Arabidopsis thaliana: one gene and its partners. The protein of the gene in region 1 purifies or fractionates together with the protein of each later gene. This does not show direct contact. Each region holds a gene or a part of one and is shown on either strand. Other genes may lie near its edges.

Evidence for each region.
Region 2: the proteins of CYCD3;1 (region 1) and GCD1 purify together in Arabidopsis thaliana (affinity purification with mass spectrometry, with the first as the bait; one large-scale study listed by BioGRID). This does not show direct contact.
Region 3: the proteins of CYCD3;1 (region 1) and AT5G58150 purify together in Arabidopsis thaliana (affinity purification with mass spectrometry, with the first as the bait; one large-scale study listed by BioGRID). This does not show direct contact.
Region 4: the proteins of CYCD3;1 (region 1) and RBP45A purify together in Arabidopsis thaliana (affinity purification with mass spectrometry, with the first as the bait; one large-scale study listed by BioGRID). This does not show direct contact.

What each region holds. Positions count from the first base shown.
Region 1 is NC_003075.7:16,354,222-16,360,991, forward strand, and holds CYCD3;1 (CYCLIN D3;1), read left to right. Parts: upstream 1-3,199; 5' UTR 3,200-3,681; coding exon 3,682-4,155; intron 4,156-4,244; coding exon 4,245-4,446; intron 4,447-4,555; coding exon 4,556-4,686; intron 4,687-4,759; coding exon 4,760-5,083; 3' UTR 5,084-5,344; downstream 5,345-6,770. Other genes in the region: AT4G34150 (Calcium-dependent lipid-binding (CaLB domain) family protein), read left to right, coding at 814-859, 966-1,070, 1,178-1,304, 1,396-1,467, 2,157-2,202, 2,288-2,597, 2,697-2,734. UniProt on the Arabidopsis thaliana protein: Involved in the control of the cell cycle at the G1/S (start) transition. Activates the G1/S phase transition in response to cytokinin hormone signal, but declines in response to sucrose starvation leading to G1 arrest.
Region 2 is NC_003076.8:25,008,737-25,016,128, forward strand, and holds GCD1 (ribosomal protein L20), read left to right. Parts: upstream 1-3,220; 5' UTR 3,221-3,339; intron 3,340-3,449; 5' UTR 3,450-3,490; coding exon 3,491-4,239; intron 4,240-4,477; coding exon 4,478-4,667; intron 4,668-5,058; coding exon 5,059-5,260; coding exon of another isoform or gene 5,261-5,271; exon of another isoform or gene 5,272-5,628; coding exon 5,629-5,750; 3' UTR 5,751-6,076; downstream 6,077-7,392. Other genes in the region: AT5G62260 (AT hook motif DNA-binding family protein), read left to right, coding at 595-1,024, 1,541-1,623, 1,741-1,872, 1,960-2,121, 2,205-2,612. UniProt on the Arabidopsis thaliana protein: Essential for fertility (male and female gametophyte functions and development). Required for the integrity of female gametic mitochondria. Modulates male gametophyte functions, including pollen tube growth and style penetration.
Region 3 is NC_003076.8:23,528,684-23,535,975, reverse strand, and holds AT5G58150 (Leucine-rich repeat protein kinase family protein), read left to right. Parts: upstream 1-3,135; 5' UTR 3,136-3,402; coding exon 3,403-5,760; 3' UTR 5,761-5,895; downstream 5,896-7,292. Other genes in the region: AT5G58160 (actin binding protein), read right to left, coding at 1-730, 824-1,042, 1,260-1,960, 2,180-2,252; PHOT2 (phototropin 2), read right to left, coding at 5,983-6,105, 6,190-6,330, 6,411-6,523, 6,608-6,659, 6,758-6,880, 6,958-7,064, 7,201-7,250.
Region 4 is NC_003076.8:22,293,645-22,301,352, reverse strand, and holds RBP45A (RNA-binding protein 45A), read right to left. Parts: upstream 5,985-7,708; 5' UTR 5,942-5,984; coding exon 5,687-5,941; intron 5,539-5,686; coding exon 5,070-5,538; intron 4,028-5,069; coding exon 3,969-4,027; intron 3,881-3,968; coding exon 3,750-3,880; intron 3,670-3,749; coding exon 3,576-3,669; intron 3,473-3,575; coding exon 3,320-3,472; intron 3,230-3,319; coding exon 3,227-3,229; 3' UTR 2,958-3,226; downstream 1-2,957. Other genes in the region: AT5G54910 (DEA(D/H)-box RNA helicase family protein), read left to right, coding at 1-17, 125-400, 661-984, 1,102-1,293, 1,373-1,528, 1,609-2,021, 2,115-2,266, 2,363-2,685; AT5G54890 (RNA-binding CRS1 / YhbY (CRM) domain-containing protein), read right to left, coding at 6,444-6,539, 6,631-6,758, 6,843-7,068, 7,145-7,272, 7,509-7,708. UniProt on the Arabidopsis thaliana protein: Heterogeneous nuclear ribonucleoprotein (hnRNP)-protein binding the poly(A) tail of mRNA and probably involved in some steps of pre-mRNA maturation.

The DNA of each region.
Region 1 (6,770 bases):
AATAGACAAGTTGGTTTCGATTTTTATTGGACCAAGCAATAGAACTGTATCAAGAAAACAACATATCGGATTTATGGTCCATTTTCTCTTGGTCGACAATTTTTTGAAATGGCGCGACGTTGAACAAAAATTATACGAACAAAGAAAGCTATTTCCAGGTTACTGCCTTTATATTTGGATGACTTGTTCCAAGGGGAAACTTTTTTTTTTTTTGTCTGTCATCTGATGATATTAGAACTTTCAAAGGAACCAAGATGATTGCAACAGCTACACTGTAATCTATAACCATCATGCCATTGGACGCATCCTAGTAAATACATAAGAAAGACACTCCCTTTATTTTGGTCTCCGTTCTTCAGCCACACCTTATAATATCATCCACAAGATAATAAGTGGTGTCTAGCAAATAACAAAGCGAAGCTATATCTATATTTATTTACTTATTGATTGTCGTGAATCTATCTTTAATGGTGACATGCCATAGAATTATCACTATTGTGTGGTTGTGCTTGTAATTGTTTGTAAAAATTTTGATTTTATGAATCAAAGATTATCAACATCTAGACTTTAATAGTTAAGGAAATAATAATATTTAAAAAACGCGTACCTAAATCTAATGAAAAGTCAAAATTACGGTCAACGCCTTACGAGACGCGTCTGGTTCTTGAAAGCAAGTTCTGCGTTATTTCATCATCAATCAAAGTCGCCATTTTATTTTTATTTAAAGTCTCACGTCACGGAATTATCTCTCTGAATTCATCATCTTCATCATTACCTTCTTTTTCTCAATCTCGATTGTTTTCTTCCAAATTCATGTCGATGATGGCGGGTATACAAGGCCAGATTCTCGAGGTCACTGGTTCGTACCTTTCTCACATCCCCAATTCTATTATGTTCTTCAACCTTATCTATGATCCGTTGAAATGTTAACTTTTAAAATTTCTGGGATTCTTTTGATTTGTCAGTTGTTGGGTGCCAGAAATTGAAAGACACGGAATGGTTTTCAAGACAAGATCCATACGTCGTCCTTGAGTATGGTGGCAGAAGTCACCGTACCAGAACCTGCACAGGTTATTTTTAATACCACCTCTTTTATTCATAATTTGTTCAGATCCAGAAAAAATTGAACAAAGTTAAGATCTTTCAATGAATTTGATTGATGGGTTTGTTTTTTCAGATGGTGGAAAGAACGCTGTTTTCCAAGAGAAGTTTATCTTCACTTTGATTGAAGGGCTTAGGGATCTTAAGGTTGCTGTCTGGAATAGCAACACTCTCTCCACTGATGACTTCATTGGCAATGCAACGTATGTGTCACTTCTTATCATTGCCTTGTTATGCTTTTTAATACCCGCTTTGGATTTGGAATTGAGTCTTTTGTTGTTTGGTTGTTATTAGGATTCAATTGCAGAAAGTTCTTTCTCAGGAATACGACGACTGTACCTGGACTTTGCAGAGTAAAACTGGGAGGTAATTACATTGGCTTTACTAGTTTTTGTTCCTTTTCCATTAAGTATCATGTTTGGTAATCTCGATTATTGCATGGTTCACATTTGTCTAGCTGATTTTGGTGCAACTTTTTGATGTGGTTTCTACTATATAGTGCTTGAATATATAGTTTCGCCAGTTGCTTTGCTTTGCTTTGCTTTGTTCTTGTCATTTACTTACAGTGCTGACATGGTTTTGCTCACTGATCAGAGTCGTTATGTGTGTTTTTGTGTCCTAAATTGTTAATCTGTGTGAACTACTTGTTCGAATGTTCTGTTTCTACATTGAGCACACTCACAATTGATGTAGCATTTTGATTAGGTTTCTCTGGAACTTATGAAAGATAACTAGACATTTTGACATAAATGGAGCTTCTATTGTCTGTTGTTAGGTTACCTCAGTAAAGAGATGTGAAGTTGCGTTTAAACATTGTAGCATCAAATTAGAATTTCTTAAAACTGGTCTCTTGAGGTATTCCATTTTTGTTTTTGAAAAAGAGAAAGTTATGTGTTTTTTAATCCATGGCTATGTGTTTTGTTTTCTTAAATTCCTGGAAAATCGGTTACAATGTGCCAAGATTTTGGTAGCTTGTCCTCAGCGATTGCTCCTTGTAAAAGATTACTTTTTTGATTAAAAGCCTTGTGAAAAACATCAACCTTTCTGTCTTGTAGATTCGCTGGAGAAGTACAACTCCTACTGCATTATGCGGGAGCAAAGGTAAGTCGAGCCTCAATTAGCAACATTGGTTAACATGTTCCATTATAAACAAAAGGCTAAACACACAATCCACTCTTGTATGCAGAAACATAATTACGGGTCTGCGCCATCAGCACCGTATGCACCTCACGTACCTCAATACTCAGCACCGCCTTCTGCATCTCCGTATTCAACAGCACCACCATACTCTGGACCATCTCTATACCCACAAGTACAACAATACCCTCAGCCATCAGGATACCCTCCAGCTTCAGGGTATCCTCCTCAGCCATCTGCCTATCCACCTCCCTCAACCTCGGGCTACCCTCCGATCCCTTCAGCTTACCCACCTCCTCCGCCATCCTCAGCTTACCCTCCTCAACCATACCCTCCGCAACCATCATATTACCCACAAGGTACCTTCCTTTCTTTCCTGTTCTATGCTGCAATTGATCGCATTTGCTTGTCTCTAACTATAGTCAGTGGTGGTTGATCTTTTTTCTTCTTGTTTCCAGGTCCATATCCAGGACAATACCCACCTCCTCCATACTAGAGCGTTTGGCGTTTAGAATTTGACGGGAAGTGGTCATGATGTATAGATTATAGTTATGGTGTTTTCTAGAATTTGGCAGACGAATTTCTTTGTTTTGTTTTTTTTATATCATCTTCCTTGTGCTATTGCTAGCGTGATGGTTAATTTTTGAGTTGGTCAGTGAAACTTATTGAGAAGTTTGGATCTTTTCATGTTTAACCAGATCGCAGATTATATTGAATTATTACTCTAAATCCTTGGTTTTGTGTGTTCATCATCCTCTTGAGTTAAAATTATGTTAAAAACAAAAAAAGGTTTTGGTTCTGTCTTTAACTTTAAGAAACGGAACTTATCGGCGTATAATCATCGCACTTGTGATCAGATGCAATTAGAAAAAGGTTATTTGGTCAATGTATAGCAATATCTTTAGGTTCTAACAAAAACATTATTGTTGACAAATAGCCCAAAAGTAGTAGAATTTAGCCGACAGATTTTACTGCACTTTGGTTTCTCGATCTCTACTCCAAATGAGTAAAAAGTGGGTAAAGCGGGAAACAGCAAAAGAAATCACACATTTAATAAAAAATAAAGAAAAAGAAATTCCACATTAAATAATCACAACAAGAAAAACAAATAATATATTAGTAAAAGACAAACGTAAAAACCATCTCTCGGCCTTCTCTCATAAATCAATCTCTCTTCTTATCACTCTCCGAAACCCACTTCCAGCTTTTTCCTCTCTCTTTCTCTCTCTAGTCTCTCTTTTGTAGCTCTCCCCTGCTAAGCTAACCACTGCACGTTTCCATAGAGAGGAAAGATGAGTCTCTCTCCGAGAGATTTTCTCTCTATCATCTTATCTTCTTCCGTGTAATGCTCTGAGCCAAAACCCAATAACTAAATCAACAACAATATAGAAGAGAAGAGAAAGATCTTATCTTTCTTCTCATTCTTGAGTTTAGTCCCCCACAATGGCGATTCGGAAGGAGGAAGAAAGTAGAGAAGAACAGAGCAATTCGTTTCTTCTTGATGCTCTCTACTGCGAAGAAGAGAAATGGGACGATGAAGGAGAAGAAGTTGAAGAAAACTCTTCCTTGTCTTCTTCTTCTTCTCCATTCGTTGTTTTGCAACAAGATTTGTTCTGGGAAGATGAAGATCTGGTTACACTCTTCTCCAAAGAAGAAGAACAAGGACTCAGCTGTCTCGATGATGTTTATCTTTCCACGGATCGAAAAGAAGCTGTTGGTTGGATTCTGAGAGTCAACGCTCATTATGGCTTCTCTACTTTAGCAGCTGTTTTAGCCATAACTTATCTCGATAAGTTCATCTGTAGCTACAGCTTACAGAGAGACAAACCATGGATGCTTCAGCTCGTTTCTGTCGCGTGTCTCTCATTAGCTGCTAAAGTCGAAGAAACCCAAGTCCCTCTTCTTCTAGACTTTCAAGTAAATGATGATACTTGCAATAAATTTCCTTAAAGTTTAAGTCTTTTATCCCTCTGTTCTCATCTCTCTGTTTTTTTGGGGGTTTGCAGGTGGAGGAGACAAAGTATGTGTTTGAAGCAAAAACCATACAGAGAATGGAGCTACTGATTCTGTCTACTCTCGAGTGGAAGATGCATCTCATTACTCCAATTTCGTTCGTAGACCACATTATCAGGAGATTGGGACTTAAGAACAATGCTCACTGGGATTTCCTCAACAAATGCCACCGTCTCCTCCTCTCTGTAATCTCCGGTTCGTAAACGACAAAAAGAAAAAAGCCACTCCATTTCGTTTTACCATCTGCTGAATCTGAGTAATCATCTTACATTCTTGTCTTATCTTCCTCAATTGTCTTTGTCAGATTCAAGATTTGTCGGGTACCTCCCATCAGTAGTTGCCGCAGCTACCATGATGCGAATTATAGAGCAAGTTGATCCCTTTGACCCTCTTTCATACCAAACTAATCTCCTCGGTGTCCTTAACTTAACCAAGGTTAGCTTCTCTAATCATCTCTCTACTTGTTTTCACTCAGTCATTTTCTCAAACAACTCTCGTGCATTAACAGGAAAAGGTGAAAACTTGCTACGATCTAATCCTCCAACTACCAGTGGACCGCATCGGTTTACAGATCCAAATCCAATCTTCCAAGAAACGCAAGAGTCACGATTCATCATCATCGTTGAACAGTCCAAGCTGCGTGATTGATGCAAACCCTTTCAATAGCGACGAAAGCTCAAACGATTCGTGGTCAGCGAGTTCGTGCAACCCACCAACGTCGTCGTCGTCCCCGCAGCAACAACCTCCATTGAAGAAGATGAGAGGAGCTGAAGAGAATGAGAAGAAGAAGCCGATTTTGCATCTGCCATGGGCAATCGTAGCCACTCCATAATCGAAAGCTCGATTTCGTTTATATGATATTTACTGTTTTTTTAAACTTTGAGAACAATCTTTGTTGTATTAAGCTTTACCCGTTTGCATATACGAAATGTCGCGAATGCCCTTACGTGCCATGGCTTGATAGAGTTAATGGGTAAAGGGTATTCATGACATTTGACTGCATGGGATGTGACGAAGGAGAGAATTAGAAATAATAATAATAATATTGCGTAAATTTTGAGGCTTGCCCAATCTTTGGGCCGTAATCTCCGGCGTTATTCATATTTTATTAATGTTTTATATTATGAGTAGTAGTATGTTCTAAAATCTGCTTTGCTGAAGGAAATAATAATTACATACATATTCTTTTACTCCTGTAGTTTAGGAAAGAAAAAAACGCATTTAAATCCGTGCTATTTGATAACTACATTTTTTTCGTCCAGAATGGTGGATAATACAAAATTTAAGAAATGAGATGTCACAATGTTTTAATATTTGAATGAGACTGTTGTGTTTATGATCGAAAGTGAAAGATTTAGCGTTTTTAGCTTTGACTTTTGGGAGAAGAGCCAATTGTTGCTGCTTTTTTTGTCAGTCTTTAAATATAATCGCTTTCAAAGATGAATCAATAATTAAAATTTTAAAACGGAAAGACAAAAATGAAAACGTAACACTATATTATTGCTTTAGATTTTTTGTCTAAAGTCTTGTCAAAACCTGCTCTACACTATATTATTGCGTATCAAATAACTAACTACACATGAACATGTAAGTTGTCGAAAATAACAACATATAATTATAAATGTTTTTAAAAATCAAACAGCGAAACTTAAATCAAATCTACAGAGTGTAGATCTTTCGTTGACCAGTAGATAAATTAACTGCGACAGACAGACACAGGACAAGAAGGAGGAAGTGAAGTAAACGCGCCATATATAGGTGAGTGTTGTTCGACGACGATAAAAATGTGGTGCAGCATTAGTAACAACACCAGAACCAAAGTAACCTGCTTCCACTCTGAGCACCTGGGATTAAGACACGTGGCAAAAAGTATCCAGCGTTACTATTCTTTTTTTCTTTTAATAACATCAAATAATCGTCAATTAATTACGAAAATTGAAGATATTAAATTTAACAATTTACTATTATAAAATCCCTTTTGTATCACGGAAAAGCTTATATGATAATGCGATTGAATCACGAGAAATTGATTTTTTTTTTTTAAACAAAACTTTAGGTTGTGTGAAAATCTTGGCTCCTTCTTTTACACTTTTTCTTTTCCAATTTTATTTTCTCTTTGGACTTTTTATTTATTTATTTTCTTGGCAATAAAAAAAGAGAATTTAAATCTATAACTTTTTTCACGTGTGACACGAATTTTCTACTTTGGGGGATTCAGATTCATCGTTCTTTTTCCTTTATATTCTCAATTTCATTTCGCTACTTAGAAAAAAAACGAATTGCTTTAGCTGATGTCGTTTCTTAACGCTCAGCCTCACGTCATCAAAGCATTTAAACTCCCCTCGTTCATGTAATCTTACATTAATACGTATGCGTAATGCGTTTATGTATTGTTTAAAACAAAAGATCCGTTCTCTAACTTCAACTAAAAAGTTAACATCCATGCATATGTATTAGAATATCAAATTAAGCACAAATATTAACATGTTAGCAAAAACATGACTCTTTATTTCTACAAT
Region 2 (7,392 bases), on another chromosome or scaffold:
ACGTGGATCTTTCCCTAAACCGAAATCAATACTTTGATTTTTGTAATTATTATATCGATTTTCAACTAATTAAATCCTTAATATTCCTATTAAATAATACAACTGTCTACATGACATTTTTTTATATATATTATCGTTTCTTTTCCTGAAATTTTCCATTTTATTTATTTCTTTGCAAAAACCCTAAAAATTCATTCGTCTAAGAGAGAAAAATTATCTTCTTTTTCTTGTGAATTTTTTTTTGGGGATATTGCATGTAATTTTTTGGGGATTTTTGAGGTTTAATCTCCATTGAAAGAAGCTCTGGCATTTCTCTGCTACAGTGTTGGTTTTCAGCTGCAGAATTGGTGAAAAAGTAAATCTAGAAACTGTAATCAAATTTCTCTGCTTTGATCTTTGGTCCTTTTGAGCTACTATTTCATATCTCTTGTTCCTTTTATTGTTCTTAGTTATTATTACAAAGAAGAAGAAGAAAAAAAAGAAACCTTTACTTCTTCTTCATCTGAAAAAGCTCATTTTTTTTTTTTTTGGAATCAGAGTTTGGTGAATTTCAGGAGCAGAGTATTTAAGTAATTTTGGGGAATTAGTGAGAAAATGGAGGAGAAAGGTGAAATAAGTCCAAGTGGGGTCGTCACAGTTAAGGGAGATGAAGCTTTGGTTCCAAGAACAGAGTTTCAACAAAACCCTAGTTTTCTCCAATTCGTGAGTCCCACAACGGTAGTGACTCCTCTCCCTCCTCCACCAGCTCCGTCTTCGGCTCCGGTACCAACCACCGTGACTCCTGGCTCAGCCACAGCATCAACCGGATCAGATCCGACGAAAAAGAAGAGAGGAAGACCGAGGAAGTACGCACCAGACGGAAGCCTGAACCCTAGGTTTTTGCGACCAACTCTGTCTCCAACTCCAATCTCATCTTCGATTCCATTGTCTGGAGATTATCAATGGAAACGAGGCAAAGCTCAGCAGCAGCATCAGCCTCTTGAGTTCGTCAAGAAATCTCACAAATTCGAGTATGGAAGCCCAGGTAATTAAAAGTTGAGATATTTGTGTTTGAACTGTTTGCATTGGTTTCAGTGAGACAAGATCTGATCTGGGTTTCGAGTGATTTTATGTTGTTGTGTGGATTTTTGAGATGTTGGGAAGTGGGACCAACATAACTGGATTTTGCTGGGTACACTTTTGTCTGAAGAAGCTATTACACTCAGACCAGTTAGAGACAGAGAAAGGGAATCTGCTGATGCTGACCAAACAAAAACAGAAATAAAAAGAAGATTTTGTCTTTAAAAAAAAAAATACAAAGACAGAATAATCTCTGTCTCTTCCTTTTTATCTTAGAAGATAAGTATGTCTAGTTGTGATTATAAGTTGTTTAGCAGATCTTACGATTTCTCATTATCTGTTTTAATTACTGTGTGAATAAAAAGAGATTTAGATTATTAGTTGGTCTTTGTTTTGAATCATGGAGTTAGTTGCTTGAGGATTAGGATTAATTAATTAGCTGATTAGACTAATGCAAACTCTGTTTTACTATCTCTTGCAGCTCCTACTCCTCCTCTTCCTGGGCTCTCATGCTATGTGGGTGCAAATTTTACGACCCATCAATTTACTGTCAATGGCGGTGAGGTAATAAATTTCCCACAGAGGATTCTTTTGTTTTCTTTCTTCAACACGGTGCTTGTAACTCAAGCTTTGGTATTAAATTCTATCAGTCTTTGTTTGAGAATTTCTTGTTTTGATCAGGATGTGACAATGAAGGTTATGCCGTATTCGCAACAAGGATCTCGAGCTATCTGCATTCTTTCTGCAACTGGTTCGATCTCTAATGTCACTCTTGGTCAACCTACCAATGCAGGTGGCACTCTTACATATGAGGTAACAAAACATTGAATCAAATTTCGTTAGTACCTCGTTTTGAAATATATATCGAGTAAAACTGTTATGTGTTTTTTCTTTTCTAAGGGTCGGTTTGAGATACTATCGCTATCTGGTTCCTTTATGCCTACTGAAAATGGAGGAACAAAAGGTCGGGCTGGTGGGATGAGCATTTCTTTAGCCGGACCAAATGGCAATATATTTGGTGGTGGCCTTGCCGGTATGCTTATAGCAGCTGGTCCTGTTCAGGTGACACGATTTGATTACATGAATGAAACATATTTACAGATTCAGGAGTATAGAAAACTCTAAAGTCTTATAATATGTGACAGGTGGTAATGGGAAGTTTCATTGTGATGCATCAAGCAGAACAAAATCAGAAGAAGAAACCTAGAGTTATGGAGGCTTTTGCTCCACCACAACCACAAGCACCACCACAACTGCAACAACAACAACCTCCTACTTTTACCATAACAACCGTGAATTCAACTTCTCCTTCGGTGAACACCGTAGAGGAGCAGAAACCACAAGCTTATGGTGGTGGTATAGTGAGACCGATGGCTCAAATGCCTTCTTCTTTCCAAAACGACAATTCAACTATGAACAATTTCACACCGGCCTATCATGGATACGGGAATATGAACACTGGTACTACTCACAAAGAAGAACATGAAGACGAAGATGGTGGTGATGATGATGATGATTCAGGCGATACTAGGAGCCAATCTCATAGTGGTTGAGCAATTCTCTGATCAAAGTCAGAAAGTTTTCTTGTGTAGAAAGGAAGGGAGCTTAAAGGAGTGCTTTTTTTTAGAGGGTTGTTTTAGTTGTGTGAGGGTTTTCTTCTTTTGTGTGCTTTTCTAATTTCTAGGGTTATTCTTCTTTGTGATCGGTTTAGATTTAATCATGTCGAAGTCATAGACTAAACGATGTTCTTATTGTTGAGGTCATTGGGATTCAAATTTAGTAAGACTTTTGTGATATGGTTCATATTCTTGCAAAGTCCATTCATAAGATTCACTACAAACAAATGTTTTTGATGTATAATACAAAGTAGGAGTACTATAAAATCCTACCTGTGATTCATCATTATTTGTCTATGTCATTAAAACATTCATCAGTTTAAAAATTGCTTCAAGTCTAGATCGTGCGTAATTGCAAAAGTCTATATAATTTCTGTTCCACATACACAGACTCATCAGTGGATTCTGGGTTTAAATTGTAACAAATAAAAAGTCAAGATACAAAAGGAAGTGAGCATAACTAAAGCAAAACAACTATAAGGTGATATTTAAAATAAATAAAGAAATATAGGGGTTAAAACATAAATACAAACTCTTCGCTAATTCTCAAAACCCTTCCCTTTCCTTTATCGCAGTCGTAACTGGCCTCCGTTGGTCTCTATCGTGACTCCCTTCACGCCATTAATTCCGATTAATCGGAGCTTCGACTTCTCATCTTCCTTGGGTAACTCGCTCTACCTTATCTTCATGTAATCAAAATTCGAACTTTTTGTCTGTGTGTTTTAGTTGTTTATTGGGTAAGTTACTAGATCTTCTCTTTCGATTTTGTTTCAGCGTTCGTGCGATTCAACGTTTGATTTGAAGAATCAGTAGCAATGTATAACCTTAGTAGGATCATTTATCGTTTCTCCTCGGTTTCACTTAACCCTAGCACGAGAGCATCTGGGTTTCTACTTGAGAACGCTTCATCAAAAATCTTACAATCTGCTACGAATCGAGCATTTTCTGCAAAATCAGGATCTGATGGAGTTGGAGGCGATGATAACGGCTGGAATATTTCAACAGGAGGATCATTTGGTGGTACAGGATCTGCTGATCTTGATTGGGACAATAAATCTATGTGGTCTACTGGTTTAACTAAGGAGCATTTCGATGGTGTCTCCGTTGGTCGTCAGAAGAACGCGGCGAATCCTTCTTCTGATAACACCCCTTCTGATTCGGGTGATGTAATGAGCAAATTGGGTCCAAAGGAGGTAGCTTTGGTTAATGAAATGAATGAGTATGATGATTTGCTTAAAGAGATTGAGCAAGATAATAGGCAAGGCAGGGCTTTTGTTGATGGGATTAAACAGAGAATGATGGAGATCAGTGTGTTGTTGAAGCAAGTTAAAGAGCCAGGTGCTAGAGGGTCTTATCTTAAGGACTCTGAGAAGACTGAGATGTATAGATTGCACAAAGAGAATCCTGAGGTGTATACTATTGAGAGGCTTGCTAAGGATTATAGGATTATGAGGCAGCGTGTTCACGCCATTCTTTTTCTTAAAGAAGATGAAGAAGAAGAGGAGAGGAAGCTTGGTCGTCCTTTGGATGATTCTGTTGACCGTTTGCTTGATGAGTACCCTGAGTAAGTTACTTTACATGGACTAGTATTTCTATACCTTGGTATAATGTTACTTCAGTTTTACATGAATTGAAATGGAGTAACTGTGTGTACTCTCTTTTATTTAGTCTTCTTTATAGCCAAAATAGTTAAGGTAGTTGGATCTAGCATTGTTAGTGAACGATCATGATGCAAACTTGAATAGGTTGCGGATTATGTGGCTTCGTCTTCCTTTAACCCTCATTTTGATATTGGTATACAGGTTCTTCATTTCGCATGACCGGGAATTTCATGTGGCCTCACTTAATTACAAACCCGACTTCAAGGTCATGCCAGAAGGATGGGATGGTACAATCAAAGATATGGATGAAGTCCATTATGAGATCTCAAAGAAAGAGGATGACATGCTTTACGAAGAATTTGTCCGAAGGTTTGAGTTCAACAAAATGAAAGTAAGGCCCTTCTTTTGCCCACTTGAGTATGCATTGACTTAGTAAACCATTACTACATTTGGTCTATTGAGACATTTTCCCATCCATATGTTAATTATCAAGTGACCTGCTTGCAACTTAGAAGGAAAACTTGAGACTAGATGCAAGTTTGGAACCCTCTATTCTAAATTTGGTAACTTGTAAAATAACCTTGAAAGATTGAAAGTAATAATGGTATTGCAACTTGCTTGTGGATTGTTTAAAAGGTTATTGGTTTGAATAGATCCACGCCTTTTGATTGATATATAACATCAGCGTTCCTGCTTGAGTTCTTGCTGAGTTATTAGACGTTCTTTGGTCATTTCTCCTTGGTGATAACAAACGTTACTTTACCTTTTGCTCTCTAAACCAGTGGAGAGGAGAAGTGATGTGCCACAAGTACAGCAGGAGACGTTCATCAGAGGGATGGAAAATCACGGTTGAGAAATTGGGTGCTAAGGGCAAACGTGGAGCCGGAGGTGGCTGGAAGTTTATGAGTCTTCCAGATGGATCAAGCCGACCACTCAACGAAATGGAGAAGGTCTATGTTAAGCGTGAAACCCCACTACGTCGCCGTAAGATCTAGACTCCATCAATGGTTATATCAGGATGGGAATGTTATGTCTCCTGTGGGTTCTTGTTTGATTCTGATTTTGCTTCTGTTTGATCTTAAGTTGAATAGAATAAGATGGGTAGCTTTTGTTTTTCGTTTAGCTCTCTCTAACTTTATCAGTGAGGTTCAAATAAATCATAAGACACAGTGTTGTTTTAATAGAATCATGATCTTGTATTAGAATTCTCTGTTATGTTTAAGAAGGTTCCTTCATCGTTTGAAACGAATTGAAAGATGATTTAGAGAATCTTGTCCTAATTTGTTGTGGTATGTTAAAAGTTGTGGTGCGTTTGGCAAAGCTAAAATAAAAGTATGTTTGTTTTTGTCTAGGAAGCATTATATCAACGGAGGTGATGCGTTACTCGCCCGCGAACCAGAAGCGGAGGTCGAAGCGGAAACAGAAGCGGAAGGAGAGGCGCATAGCATGTCTCAAAGCCGGTAAGCAAACGTGATTCCAAAAATGAGGTGTTTTGGAAGCGTAGTGAAACCACATGACTCTAGTTTGGAAACGTTGGTGGTGTGGATCGGAAGCGTCGATGGTGACTTGCAATTCTAATTTTGGGTTTATAATTTGTTTTGTGGCCCAACTTACCTTGGTCACCATAAGCATTTAATGTTTGGTATTTTAGGTTATTTCATTTTTGCTAATATATTCAAACAAACATATAAAATAAAAAGACAAATCACCACCCATGATATTAAAAAAAAAACACTAATAAAAGATGATGTCTCCTGGAATGGTCGACGCAGAATCTGTAGCCACTCACTGTTCTTTATCGTTGTCTCCTCCTCAACATTATCCCAATCCCACGTTCGCTTAATTTTTTAATTTTTAGGTTGGATTTTATTTTTCATCAACCATATAAAATCATTGAATAGACCCATTCTTTTATCCCAACCTTTGAATTCTTTACCTCCTCCCACTTACAATTATTCGAGATTTAGTTTGAATACATGTATACTTCCGGTGATTTGATCTTGGTCGGAAAAAACAATCTTTTACGACTTTTCTGAAGTATGTCGCGACGATAAAGACTATTGAGGATTCATGTCTACGTCTACGGTTTCAAAATGTCTTATAATGTCTACTGTGTAGTACATGCATCGAACTCCAATTATACCTACACGTACGTATTTAATAAAGTTTTGTGCTATTTAAATTTGTATACGATCTAAACATTTCTAATGTATTTTGAACGTCGGACCAGTAAAATATATGAAATCGATCGAATGTAGTAGAATTTAGAAGTTCTCTAAATATTTGTTTTGCTATTTTTTGTTATGTTTTTGTCAAACTTTTGATATTTTTCTTTCTTATCTCTTTGTTCATGATCTACAATTATCAAATCAACCAATAGGAACTGTTTCGAGTTGCACTTGGACCACAATATCCCACACTAAATTAAAACTTGAACCAGATCAAAATCTCTTCGGACCTTTGCCCTTTGGACCAGTTCGGTCCAATTTAACCTTTCAATACCCTTATCTTGATAGAGTACTATAAAGAAATAATAATGACAGATGCATGAAACTAGTTCAAGTGGAAAAAGCATCGTGCACTGATATATCTTCATCAATTGCAAGAACATGTCTCAATAAACCCAAAACTATTCAAACATTTTTTCTGAATCATATCTATCAGCATGGGACACTGTGGCTCTTTGTGCCTTTGGATTCAACGCATCCTTCACAATCTTTTTTTTGTAACTGCATCTCATTATCGCATTAGTAGCAATCACCACCTATATGAAATACCTCTTTATATGTATATGATATCGATTTAAAAGTATTTAGTAAAAATCGATTAATGTTTTCTACAATAAGATTAGTCAGACGCGATTGCCAAATCCATAAATCCAAAAAGAATTATATAGCAATTGATATACTATTACTATAGGATATATTATAGAGTGGATATGTTTCACCATAAGCTTAACATTAATTTCTCAATCTTGGTTTGCACAATGATTAATGCATAATTAGATTAAGTGTATATGAAGCTTCATGGAAACCCGTACGTGAGAGGACGGTCACTAGATTGTACAATCAAGAACGTAATATATATATATCCATTAATCTAAACCGTACGTTGTA
Region 3 (7,292 bases), on another chromosome or scaffold:
GCTCTGTTGCTTGAACAACAGAATGCTGCAATTGCTCTGAAGGTTTAGAAGCAGCAGCTGGAAGTGGAGGAGGTGGGGGAGGTGCTCCCGCTTGAGCCAACTGCGGTCTTACAGGATGAGGTGGTGACGGTGTGGGTGGCGAAAACGAGATTGCTTTCCCATCATGTGCTGAAGGACTCTTCGGAAAATTCTCCTCGGCATTTTCTGGAGATTTAGAATCGTCCACAAGAGGTTTAACTGTTGCAGAATGATGCACAAGCTTGAGAGAAGGGGACTCTTGATGTAACAACTTTGTTGCATCCTCGCTGGCGTTTTGTTCCTGATTATTTATCTGAAGGACAGAATGTACATCTTCTGCTATAAACTTCTTGACTGAATCAGTAGGAGGCTTTTCTGGTGTGTCGATTGTTTCAACCTCGGACATTGAAGACAATTTGAACTTTGCACTATTTTCAATTGCTGCATGCTTCATAATATCATGGATACTTTTAGGGCTTAACCCTTGTAGTCTTGGGCTTGAATTACCATCTAGTCCTTCTTGGACAGCATTTGCAATGGCTAACTGCTGAAACATATTGCGTGTGGCATCTGTCTGATCAACCCAATCAACTTGATTGAAGAACTCATGAACTTTGGAAAAAACTTCTATTGGAAGACCATCTTTCTCTTCCAAGGAAGAAAAATTCATCAAGTCAACAGAAGAGGCAGCATCCATATCTGAGAAGAGAAGCTTCACACAGAAAGTACTCTTTGTGAGTACTAAGTTACAATGGAGTAGCTATATGTACCATGTAAAGAGAATATGAGCTCCATGAGTACATACCTCAACTCTGAACCCCTTTGGGAATTCTTTTATATGCCATAATGTGTCGACTTCATCACGGTTAAGCATCAAAATGTTTGATCTAATAAAAGCAGTGTTAAAAACCACTCGAAACATCATGACCTCTCTTTCCATGTCATCGTTCAAACTAAGGCACTCGATCACGATATCACCTTGCACATGACAATTAATGTCAATCTTGACTAGTTCACATTCTGCCTGCAAAACACAAAGAGTTGAGTAAACAACATCGAAAAGCCATTAAATCATATTGCAAACAAGGAAAAAGAAAGCTAAGAAGCACAAGAAACAGAAAACCAACAGGGCTAATCAGTGATCAAATATATTTCTTTTTCTAAGACCTTCAGATGCAATGTAACACAGGCTGAGTCAGAGGTCATAATTATAAGAACGCTATGAATATTCTGAGAAATACCTGCTTGTAGACCCTCAGGTGTTTCCCTTTCTTGGGAGTAGTGTACAAAAGCTTAGGCTTTTTATCATCAACAAAAAAGGGATCCTGACCATATATTCGAAACATAGGGCGAAAGCCTCCTTGTCCACTAACATCAGGAATAAATCTCAAAATAACACAATCCATGGTGAGAGCCCTATCCAATGGAGGCCATTCAGAGACCAAATTCCTTCTTGACACGTACTGTAGATAACGAAGCTGAGAAGGAATTGGGTTCAAGGGCGAGAACAAACGCAGAAGCTCACGCGGAGCCTGCTTGTAGATCATGTCCAAAGTCTTAGACTCACCACTATACTGCTTCCTGTATATAAGGAGGGCAGCTAGCATAAAAGCTAAAACAGGCCAAGCCCCACTTTCACAATGCATTAGTAACAAGTTATTTGGCCCAAGCGAGAGCCAACTTTCACTTGACCGGAGAAAATGATGCATCACTTCCACAGGTAACAATGAGCAGCCTTCGTAGTGCCGAGGATAATCCATTATAGTCAAGCCATGTTCAGATAAGACATCAGCCATCACACTTCGAGTACCCACTTCACGGAAATTAAACACAAGAGAAGATGCTTCAGGGAAATGCTCTTGTAGTTGATTGACTACTCCTGCCATATAAACTTTGTAGTTTTCTTCTTCCCATGAATCGGTAGAGAAGCAGCAATCGAACACTGCAACACACACAGAAGAAACTTTTTTCAGTTCAATGTGTTTTTTGCCAATCATGATAAAATGAAATTTCATATCTTGATTTGTAAAACTCCCAAATTTCAGACAAATTAGCGTAAAAAGTCCCAACTTTTCAGACACTCAATCCCAGAAGACCGAACAAGTACAATGAGCTAAGGAAAAATAGATAAATGAAGCAGAGAATTGGGAGAGAAACAGACCGAAAACTCTGTCGCATATCTCGAGCAAACCATCTGGAGGCTTGCGGTAGAACAATTTGCGAAACAATGCCATTTTATCAAAGTCTTAAAACCTCTCTTCGAATTTCAAAAATCGACAACTTTTGAGTTTTCGTTTGATTACAGAATTTGTAGCGAAAGATGCTCCTTTTTGGTATGAATCTGTTAAGGTGATGTTGATTGATCTTCGAACAGAGGAAAAGGTCAGCTGGCGCGTTGTATGACGTGGATCCCACGATCAGCCGCCAACTCTCTACCCGACCTGACACGTGTCTTCTCATCTACGGACGAACCGGCATTTATCTCTCGGCCCATTTAATTCCTCTTAATGGGCTTTTCCTTTTCGGCGCACAAGTTGTGATATCTCGACTCTGTTTTGCTAGCATTGTTTCTTCATTCTCTCTAATTGCAAGTTTCAGTCTTTGAATCCGATGAAACTCAGATAGCTATTGGAGCTCTGTTTTAGCATAAGATTGCTTAAAATAGTGAGTGGCTATTTTTATCCAGAAAATGAGCTATGAATCTGATGAGTTGGTTTAAACTACATTGATGGCTCTTGTTTTTATTTTCTCTTATTTGCGGACATTAAGGCGCCAGTTTAGGGGCTAATCAGAGGAATGAATGATTCTCAATTTCCAAGGTATCTGTGACAGAGTCAAAAAAGTGTGAAAACCCCTAAAAAAGTGAATTTTTACATTAATAACCAAAACACTACTGAAATGAGAAACCACAACAACCACCCACTCCTCCACTCACCAAATCCATTGACAACTTTGGGATTTGGAAAAATTCACAAAAGGTCTGAGACAGATTCCATTTATCATATTTTTCTTATAACTCACTAGCGAAATACTTTACCTAATTATAATCTCCACATATCCCTTTTTTTGACTTTCAACGACTCTCTCTTCTCTTCCCACTTTCTCCAGTGTCCATATACGATACAACCAAAAACTCAACTCTCAACTCCGGAACTCCCCCAAACTATTCAACTCTTATCTTCTTCTTCTGAAATTTCATAGCTTTCTGACTAAAAGTTCTGATTTTTTTTGAAGCTGTGCACGTGAAAGGGATTTCAATGTATTCTAAACTATCATCACCTCTATGCCCCGTGATTCCATTATGTCTTTTCTTCTTTTCACACAGTCTGTCTTCTTTCTGAGCTTTCCCATCCAACTTTCTCCAGTCCCAGACACCACCAAGTTATGAGGTTGTCTCTATGGGGATCTCTCCTGTTCTTCTCCTTCTTCGTCAAGCATCTGACGAGCCTAGATCCCAACACCGACGCTTATCATCTCTCTAGCTTCTTCTCCGCAATGAGATTACCCAATTCTCCCCAAGCTCATACGTTTTCTTCCTTGTGTTCATGGCCAGGAGTGGTCGTCTGTGACTCTAGTGAGAATGTGTTGCATATTTCGGCTTCTGGGTTGGACCTGTCTGGTTCGATCCCCGACAACACTATTGGCAAAATGAGTAAGCTCCAAACTTTAGATCTCAGTGGAAACAAGATTACGTCTCTCCCCTCGGATTTGTGGAGTCTCAGCTTGCTTGAGAGTCTCAATCTCTCCTCCAACCGGATTTCTGAGCCTCTTCCCAGCAACATCGGCAATTTCATGTCGCTTCACACCCTTGATCTTTCTTTCAACAGCATCTCTGGCAAAATCCCTGCCGCAATAAGCAACCTTGTCAATCTAACAACTCTCAAGCTCCACAACAATGACTTTCAGTTTGGCGTCCCTCCAGAACTTGTCCATTGCCGATCTCTACTCTCCATCGACCTCTCATCCAACCGCCTCAACGAGTCTCTGCCTGTCGGTTTTGGTTCAGCTTTCCCACTACTAAAAAGCTTGAACCTTTCACGAAATCTGTTTCAGGGTTCATTGATAGGAGTCTTGCATGAAAACGTGGAAACAGTTGATCTCAGTGAAAACCGATTTGATGGGCATATCTTGCAGTTAATACCCGGCCACAAACACAACTGGTCTAGTCTGATTCATCTTGACTTGTCCGATAATAGCTTTGTCGGCCATATATTCAATGGTTTGAGTTCAGCTCACAAGCTGGGACACCTTAACCTCGCGTGCAATCGATTCAGGGCACAAGAGTTCCCAGAAATCGGCAAGCTTTCTGCGCTACATTATCTGAATCTATCAAGGACCAATCTCACTAATATCATTCCGCGTGAAATCTCGCGGCTGAGTCATCTGAAGGTTCTTGATCTCTCCTCCAATAATCTCACTGGCCACGTGCCTATGCTGAGCGTCAAGAACATTGAAGTACTTGATCTCTCGTTGAATAAGCTAGACGGAGATATCCCAAGGCCGCTTTTGGAGAAACTCGCCATGATGCAAAGGTTTAACTTCTCTTTCAACAATCTAACCTTTTGCAACCCCAACTTCTCCCAAGAAACAATCCAGAGATCCTTCATTAATATTAGAAACAACTGCCCCTTCGCTGCAAAGCCAATTATTACAAAAGGAAAGAAAGTCAACAAGAAGAATACAGGGCTTAAGATTGGTTTGGGGTTAGCAATCTCCATGGCGTTCTTACTTATAGGACTACTGCTCATACTTGTAGCCTTGAGAGTTAGAAGAAAATCAAGAACTTGGGCAACAAAGCTAGCCATAAACAACACAGAACCCAACTCCCCAGACCAACACGACTCAACCACTGATATCAAGCAAGCAACGCAAATCCCTGTGGTAATGATCGACAAGCCATTAATGAAAATGACGCTTGCAGACCTAAAGGCTGCGACTTTCAACTTCGACAGAGGCACAATGTTGTGGGAAGGCAAGTCTGGTCCTACTTACGGAGCAGTCTTACCCGGTGGATTCAGAGCAGCTCTAAAAGTTATCCCAAGTGGAACCACATTGACTGATACTGAAGTCTCGATTGCATTTGAACGTCTCGCTAGGATCAATCACCCAAATCTTTTCCCGCTCTGTGGATACTGTATAGCGACAGAGCAAAGAATTGCAATCTACGAGGACTTAGACATGGTTAATTTGCAAAGTCTACTCCATAACAACGGAGATGATTCTGCACCTTGGAGACTTCGGCATAAGATAGCTTTGGGGACAGCGAGGGCATTAGCTTTCCTTCACCATGGCTGCATTCCTCCAATGGTCCACGGAGAAGTGAAGGCTGCAACAATCTTGTTAGACTCTAGCCAGGAGCCACGCTTAGCAGACTTTGGTTTAGTTAAACTCTTGGACGAGCAATTTCCCGGTTCCGAAAGTTTAGACGGGTACACACCACCGGAACAGGAGCGAAATGCTTCTCCGACATTAGAATCCGATGTGTATAGCTTTGGAGTTGTTTTGCTTGAGCTCGTGAGTGGGAAGAAGCCGGAGGGTGACTTGGTGAATTGGGTGAGAGGGTTGGTGAGGCAGGGACAAGGATTGAGAGCCATTGATCCGACGATGCAAGAGACAGTTCCGGAGGATGAAATCGCGGAGGCGGTGAAGATAGGGTACTTGTGTACCGCCGATCTGCCATGGAAGCGACCTACGATGCAGCAGGTGGTTGGACTTCTCAAAGACATTTCTCCCAACTACTAGTGGGCTAGTTATGGGCCTCATAATGGGCTTATCACACTTAACATGAATATTAACATGGCTCTTAAGTTTGTATGTTTATTGTTGTTGATTAGAAGAAATGGAAAAACATGAAAAGAGCCGTTTATATTTAAGCAACTACAAGTACAACAACACCTTGGCTTTTATTGAGAAGAAGAGTTTTGCATAATTTGAGAATCAAAGGCAGAGAGAGGAAGAATAGGATTAGAAGAGGTCAATGTCCAAGTCCGTAGAATTCACAAGCACTCCATCATCTTCCCACTTTATATCTTTGGCATTCGGATCTTTTTCGATTATGCTCAACGGTGCATCCAGTGGTGGAGGACTCTGTATGCAATCACTCTATTATATCAGCCAACAACAAACACGGAAAAGGCTGATTGATATAAAAATAACGATTATTAGTCCTACCATGCCTCGTATGAGAGGCCAATTGATCCCGCGAAAGAAAGCATGCTGCTTTATCTCATTTGCCCCACCTTTGGATCCTAACCGACTGCTCGGATCTCTATTTAACAACGTGTTGATCAACTGTCTACCTACAAGACTCACCTGCACAAACACATATGGTTAGATTAGTATTTTTTTTACTTTGGGAAAGACACACAGGTTGTTGTTACAAGGTAGCTCACAGGGATACTGCTGGGGAAAGTGAGATCTTTGTGCAAGATGTTGGCAAATGTCTTTTGCCTATTCTTACCCCTGAAAGGTGTGCGACCATAAAGCATCTCATACAACAAGATACCTACAACAAACACACATAAAAGGAGATGAGCATATTAATAACAGTTTGTGATCAAAATAAGGTAAAGATAGTGGCAGATTATACCCAGTGCCCACCAATCAATAGCACTTGTATGACCAGCACCCGTGATTATCTCCTGAAATAATTAAGTAAACCATGAATAAACTGAAACACAATGAGATGCAGCTGTAATTGAAGATTGCAAGAGATAAAACGTTAAATGCATCACTATACAGGCGCAATGTATTCTTCAGTTCCTACGAACGAGTTTGACTGGGTACTTGGTTCTGCAACAAATGTGGGTAGTGGTTGACTTTTGGATCTCCTTCGTTTGCTAGGTGCAGCTGGAATAATAAGCTGCAAACCATACTTCTCTTAATTATCATATTTCTTTATATGCCAATAGAAAATGGTAGAGTTGAACAAAAAAGTACCTGGGGTGTGCAGGTCGTCATGAATGATAAATCAAAGTCAGCCAATACTATGTGTCCATCCTTCTTGAGCAGTATATTCTCAGGCTTCAGGTCTCGATATACAATTCCTGTTTATGGAAAATATATACAGATCTTTAACCGAAACAACAGCTAAAAAATTATTGGAAGAAGAGACTACTCAAGGCATGTGGCAATGTATAAATAAGCAATGTTTAGATCAACAGAGACAATGATTATTATTACCTAAGCAGTGAAGATATTCTAAGCCGATAACAACCTCTGCTGCATAGAACCTGATGACAGAGATTGATCAGATTAACTCATAACTGCAGATA
Region 4 (7,708 bases), on another chromosome or scaffold:
TGGCTTTTGTTATTCCGGTAAAGTTTCGATTTTTCGATAGAGTTTATTGCTGTGTGTGTAGCTTTGTATCTTGATCAGCTTTGATTTTTGATAGATGCTAATGGATTATTTTTGTGTGTTTTAGATTCTGGAGAAGTTACATAGGGAGAGATGGAGTCCTGAAGATGGTGTGGGATGTATAATTATATCTCCAACAAGGGAATTGGCAGCCCAGACATTCGGTGTTTTGAATAAAGTAGGAAAGTTTCATAAGTTTAGTGCGGGGCTCTTAATTGGTGGTCGTGAAGGAGTTGATGTTGAGAAGGAGAGAGTTCATGAGATGAATATTTTGGTGTGTGCTCCTGGTAGGCTTCTTCAGCACATGGATGAGACTCCAAACTTCGAATGTCCACAGCTTCAGGTAATGATGACCATATTTGTTTATGTTTTCACTATCCTTATTTTAATGAAATGTTTCAGCTACAGAACATTTGGGCATTTTGTGTTGTTAACTCTATAATACTTGTCCATGATGCCTTTCTCCTACACGTTTATGAACATTAGGATGGTTATATTTGCAAATAAGGATACCGTAAAACCACTTCGACTATGTTTCTGTCTGCCAAATTTCTTCAGTCTTATTGTTTACAAATGCCTAGTAAGTGTTCTCTTTTGCTGCAGATTCTGATTTTAGATGAGGCCGACCGTGTCCTTGATTCTGCGTTCAAGGGGCAGTTGGATCCTATAATCTCACAGTTGCCTAAGCACAGACAAACTTTGCTTTTCTCTGCAACTCAAACTAAGAAAGTCAAGGATCTAGCAAGACTCAGTTTGAGAGATCCTGAGTACATTAGTGTACATGCAGAGGCGGTTACAGCTACTCCAACTTCCTTGATGCAGACTGTGATGATTGTCCCAGTTGAAAAGAAATTAGACATGTTATGGAGTTTCATCAAAACTCACCTTAATTCCAGGATTCTTGTTTTCCTCTCCACCAAGAAACAGGTTATATTATATTACCTCTCTTCCTCTTTGAATAATCTACATGGAGATAGTGTGTTCACTTTCATTCTGCCACTTTCTTCTATCTTGAGATTGACAAACGGATCACAATCCTGGCAGGTCAAATTTGTGCATGAAGCATTCAACAAGCTCCGGCCTGGAATACCTTTGAAGAGTCTTCATGGAAAAATGAGTCAGGAAAAAAGGATGGGAGTGTACTCTCAGTTCATTGAGAGACAATCAGTTCTGTTCTGTACTGATGTTCTTGCTAGAGGTCTTGATTTTGATAAGGCTGTGGACTGGGTTGTTCAGGTATGAATCCACATCCAGAATTACAAAACTCTATGATCTTGTCGGGCTGAAGTGTGATGTCATCATATTTATTTTATAGGTGGATTGTCCTGAAGATGTAGCTTCTTATATTCACCGGGTTGGGCGTACAGCTCGTTTCTATACTCAAGGGAAGTCGCTCCTCTTTCTGACACCTTCAGAGGAAAAAATGATTGAGAAATTACAAGAAGCTAAAGTGCCTATAAAACTCATCAAGGTAGTAGCTCCCGTCCTCAATTTTCTTTGAGTTTCGACTGTGGTTGGAAACATTTGACTGTAAAAAAATTTGTCACACAGGCAAACAACCAAAAGTTGCAGGAGGTTTCTAGGCTCTTGGCTGCTTTGTTAGTCAAGTATCCAGATCTTCAAGGTGTTGCTCAGAGAGCCTTCATCACATATTTGAGGTCCATCCACAAAAGAAGGGACAAAGAGATTTTTGATGTGTCAAAGCTGTCGATTGAAAACTTTTCTGCTTCACTTGGTCTGCCAATGACTCCCAGAATCCGATTCACAAACCTTAAAACGAAGAAAAAGGGGGTATATGAGAGTTCTATCGCTATGGAGATTGAGAATGCACAGGAATATGAAGCACCTCTGGTTGTCAAAAAAGATCTTCTTGGTGAAGATTTAGAAGAAGAGGATTTTGCTCTCAAGCCACGTAAAGAGGGCAAAGTAGTAGAAAAATCAACCAAGGAAGAAGAAGTTCTCATGTATGGTTTTCGCATTCCGTTAACATTTTTTCCATTCATTCGATCCAGTCTTTTCACGCTTAATTATGTGTATAAATTCTGTTGAATTTTCAGACCAGGAAATCGTGTTTTGAAAAACAAGAAGCTGAAGATCAATCTACACAGACCATTTGGGTCGAGGGTTGTGCTTGATGAGGAAGGCAATTCTTTGGCTCCCTTAGCAAGTGTAGCTGCTGAAGCAGGGACTGAAGTAGCCCTTGATGAAGGTAAAGGAACATGAATCCCTATTATCCTGTTCACACAAACGAGCAATGAATCAGTTTTTAAAAAAGCATGTGTAAATTGGTTGTTGAATTTTGCAGAGAGAATGAATGATTACTATAAGAAAGTGGGAGCGGAAATGAGGAAAGCTGATATAGAGGACAAGAAAGTAGACAAGGAAAGGAGGAGGGAAAAGAGAATGAAACAGAAGATTAAGAGGAAGAGAGGAGCCATGGAGGATGAAGAAGAAGAAGAAGAAGAAGACCATGATGGTTCTGGATCATCAGATGATGAAACTGGAAGAAACAGCAAAAGAGCAAAGAAAATCGTCTCTGACAATGAAGAAAATGGAGGAAAAATCAATACAGATTCTCTTTCCGTAGCTGATCTTGAAGAAATGGCTCTCAAATTCATAACGCAATGATAAGATCTTAATTCGTGTAGTTAATTTACATCAGTTCTGTGGAAAATTTTGTGATTTGTTTCCACCTAACGATTGCACGTTTGTTACCGTCTTACTATGAGGAAAAGAAGGATTTGCATTTTAGCTTTTGGTTTGTTTGTTGTATTAGGCGATGAAGAAAATTTACATCTTCTTTCGTAAATTCCATAATATATCAATTTTTGGCAGTAATCAGATAAGTTTTATAACAAGATTTTCTATCAGGCCATGGACTCTTTTAAACTTGGGAGTGCATCTTTAACCAAATCTCTATAGGTTTGAGCCGTTTGACCAATAGCAAGTGGTAAATACGATTGATTTTGGATAAATATTTATTTTAAAAAACAACAGAATAAAGTTTCAACATTCAGTAAACACTTTGTTCATAGCAAATTCAAGATCGACTCATTTGCAAAATAAAACTCAAACAAAAAGAGAGCACTTTTAATCTAGAAGTCCTAATAAGACACAATCGCTCATCTTTTGTTCCAAGACATTGGTAGAAATAGCTGATGTTGATGTTTCACTGCAATTGCAAAAACAAGAAAGGTAAGAACATATTCACATGATGCATATCTTAAAATATTATTCTTGTTTATTAGTGTTATTGAGTTACCTGACGTTGCTGCTGATAGTTGCCATAGCCAGTGTAACCACCATAGTACGCATTAGGGTCTTGAGTTGGTGGTTGAGCTGCATAACCATAGCCGCCCTGTGGCTGTGGAGGGTATCCATAGTATCCACCACCGTTCCATTGCGCTTGATCAGACTGTGACGACAAAGTTTTAAGTTATGATTTTGCTCATAATATCACTAATAAGATTGAAACGTATAGATTTGAGAAATTGTGGGAGAACAGGTAACAAGCTAACCTGCTTGTTTGGACTACGTCCCCACGAAAGACGGATGCTTTGTCCACCTAATTGTGTTCCATTCAGCACCGAAAGTGCATGCTCTGCAGACGCCCTGAAGCACAACAAAGAGAATAATGAAGTAAGCAAGAAAAAATGGAATTCATAATGAATGGCTGATATGATGTTTTATACTTGTTGGCATATTGAACGAATCCACAACGTTTTCCTGGAGGTATTTTCACATGAAGAAGTTCACCAAATTGACCAAAAATTGACTTTAATTCATCGTCTGTAACATTAGCATCCAGACCTCCAACAAAAATCTGAAAGTAGAACGCGTTAAACTTGCAGTCTATCAAAAACAACAGACTAAAGATTTTGGAGAATAACAAACGAAAACTAGCGACATACTGTTGTGTTATTAGGATCATTATCTCCAGCATTTGCTCCTTGAGTGTTTTGATACATAGCTGCAAATAACAGATGGGTGAGCTCAAGAGAGATGGCTATAAAATTTCTATGGATACTGCATAACGCCCCACTCGACATGGTGAGAAAACTACAAAACTAAACTGCAGAACAACAGACAGTTCACTCAAACAACGTTTGCAAAAATCATTCACATCAACACCTAAGAAGATACCAGCAAAGAAACCAAATAACATACAGAGATCAAGATCAGAAAAATCTGAAGTCAGTTGATTATTGATGTACAAATCGTTAAGCACATATCAAACGGTCCATGTGAGACTTAACGCCGAAGCATAGAATAACGAAAGCAAACTCTTCATCCTACATCTAAATTTCTTCAATATTAGAAGTTCCTAGTAATCAACTTACATAACAACTCCTTGGCCAACGTTTAATAGTATAAATCTAGAGAGGAAAACTATTGTCAAAAGATGAAAAAATACTGGCAACAGTCTGCATAGAGAAGAAGTATTAACTTTTAGCCTTTAGGTAAAGGTGAAAATAAAATAAGGGGAAAAATGAGCTACGGAATATAAAAAGAATGAATTTGAAGGTAAAAGGCTCAAAATAAATATGTCTAAGTGATATAAGTAAGGAACTGGAAAGTAATTTGAAACTGTAGGCTAATAATAGCCACTTATATGTAACTTCTTCTGATAACATAACCGACTGACCTAAATGAGGCCACGCATTAAAGTGGTATCATTTTCAGCTGAAATCAGTTCCAGGCTCCCCCAAAGAGAGCCACTTGTTCTCCTGCTTTAAGACAACATGAGCTGATCTTTATAAGTTTTTGGATGCTTTACGATATCAAAATTTATTTTGCAGAAAATCCAAAACCGAAAGGAAAAAGAGCAGATGAGAACTCTTAATCTTTGAGCACTAATTGAAAGAAGAAACTAAACTGATCAGAGAGAAATACAGCACCCAAAAAGACACTCAAATATAATGCTCAACATAGAAGGTTAAACAAACACAAACAAACTTCATATCAACTTTCAACATACTCAATATACACAGTTCCTACATAATAAAACATACCTGGTTGCATCGGAAGAGCATTCTTATTGGCAGCCGGACCAATACGCATAGGCCTTGTCGAGCAGTATTGACCATTCATTTCAGTCATGGCACGCATCTGCTCATTTTCATCCGCAAACCTAACAAACCCATACCCCTTGGACCTTCCAGTGGTCCTGTCAAGCACAACTTTAGCCCCTTTGACAGACCCATACACATTCTTGAATGTGTCCGAGAGCATATAGTCAGTCACCTCAGGTGCCAAGTCACCTACGAAAATGGTATGGTCAGGCCCTTCAGTCTGGAATCGTTTCTCTCCAGCCCCAGCCTGAGCCCAGTTGAGCCTAAACGTCTGTTCAGTGCTCGGCATGGGAGCACCATTGTAAGTCTGCAAAACCCGCTCTGCTACAGAGTGGCTGACGAACTCAATGAATCCATAACCTTCAGATTGTCCCGTCAGCTTATTACGAATGACTTTAGCTGATGTAGCCTGAAACCACCAAACAAAAACACCAAGTATTCACTAACCATAAAAAATGAAGATTTATATTGCAAAGAACAATACTTAATCAATCTTCTACATGATAAGCAAAAGACTATGTTCATCTCGATTTTGATAAACAGTCAAGTAAAATTACCTCGCCAGACTGAGCAAAGACGCTCATGATGTAGTTCTCGTCCATCCATTGCTGCAAGTCTCCGATCCACAACGACTTAACATCGCTAGCGGATCCTGGATTCTGAGATCCAATACCGTACTGATGTTGACCTAGTGGCGCCGCAGACAACTGCATCTGCTGCTGCTGCTGCTGCTGTTGCATCATCATCCACAAATGCTGTTGTCCTGATGGTATCTGTCCAGCTCCGGCGGCGTTTGACGGTGGTTGCTGCATCACTACGACGGACAAAAAAACCAAAACCTAAACTTTCGCTTCGAAAATAAAGCATTTTTATAGTTATGATATACAGTTGTAGGCTTTTTTATAGGCCCAATTTTTATATCAGCCCATTAGTTGTTCTACCATTGACCGGTTTGGTTTTGAACCGGGCCATGATATTGAGTAATTGAACATGGTTAGTGTTCTAAGGTAAGAATGATGACAACAGAACAGTAAATTGGATTACTCTAAAAATCAAATTATGAACTTAATCAAAAAAATAAAATAAAATTAGTCAATTTCATAAAGAACAATTTTGGACTGATCCAATTTTAGTTCAATAAATCAAACCGAAGTACATAATCGAATATACAAATCAACCAAGATTGTTGTATCTATGACTACTTCTGAGACATGTGAAACTTTAGTATCTGTTGTATCGATGAAGAAGTTTTGGTCTACAGTTGGATTTGTTCAGGTCACATCACTCACATGATCATGATTCTAGATCAAAGATTCATAGAGTAACAAGCTCTTCTTCACCAGTCCTCTTCCCTCTCCAGAGTATGATCTGCTCATCTTTGAACAATATGGGAACACATGGAACCATCTCCTGCAATTTTGATCACAGCATCAAGATAGATCAATTCTAGAGAATCTGACAGACAATATAAGACAAGCAAACCATTTACAGTTTATTATACCTTTAGTTTCACACCAATTCGTTTGCAGTCACTCATCCCAACATGAGTGCAATCTAGTCTCACAATCTCTTCTGTTTCAAACTCTTCCCTCACTCTTCCAACGACATTAACATAAACACCATTCCTAGCTGAATCACAATACAATCCGCCAATCAAAAACGAGGAAATACTAGAAAAATGACAAAGAACTTGACGATGTATATACTACTTACTAAGTTTCATTAAGGCAGGAGAATGAAGCCCACGATTTCTCATCTCCTTGGTCTCTTCAAATTCTAACCCATCAGCCACATTCTTTACAAGTCTTGGGTATATTGGCGGATGAGGCTTCCATAACATGAGTGGAATGATGGGACGACTCTTCGGATCATAATTCCTTCCCCGGTACAAAACTAGAATGTTTATGTTTCTGTATACAATCTTTCCACCGGATTTTTCCTATCAAGAACACAACTATAGTAAGATCAACCGAAAGAAAAACAGAGCCGTGTTCTGGAGATCTAATAATAGACACCTCGAGGTGGAAACATATGTTGTCCATGTCAAGAGTTGGTACTCCCAAGCATTTGATCCTCACTGCCTCAGCTTTCTTCCAATGGTTATGAATATCATCTATCATATTGTGAGTCACACCACCTTTCCCTGATAACATCACAAAGTTTATAAGAAGAGACCAATCACATAATTTGATTATATCACAACATGATCATCATCAAGACCACAAATCTACAAGTGATGTCAACACAAAGAAGTTTCTACCACTAGTGAATCTGCAACATCAACGATGACGAAAGCTCTTAACTTTGAAGACGATTCGATTTGATCAAGCAAACTAATTTCAAAGCTAAAAAACTTAGGCAAAAGATTCAAAATTGTACCGAGATTAATCTGTCGTGTACAGTCACTATGCCGATACCGTTCAATAAGCTCTGTAACTTCATCCTCTGTCAAAGTCTCGCCGAGAACTCTTGCTCTCTCCTCCACCCATTGACTCTGATCAATCTCCGGCGACGCCAGTGCGGTAGTCCCAGTCCATTTCCGGTCCAATCGACCCGGTCCAAATGGAGAGAACCGTTTC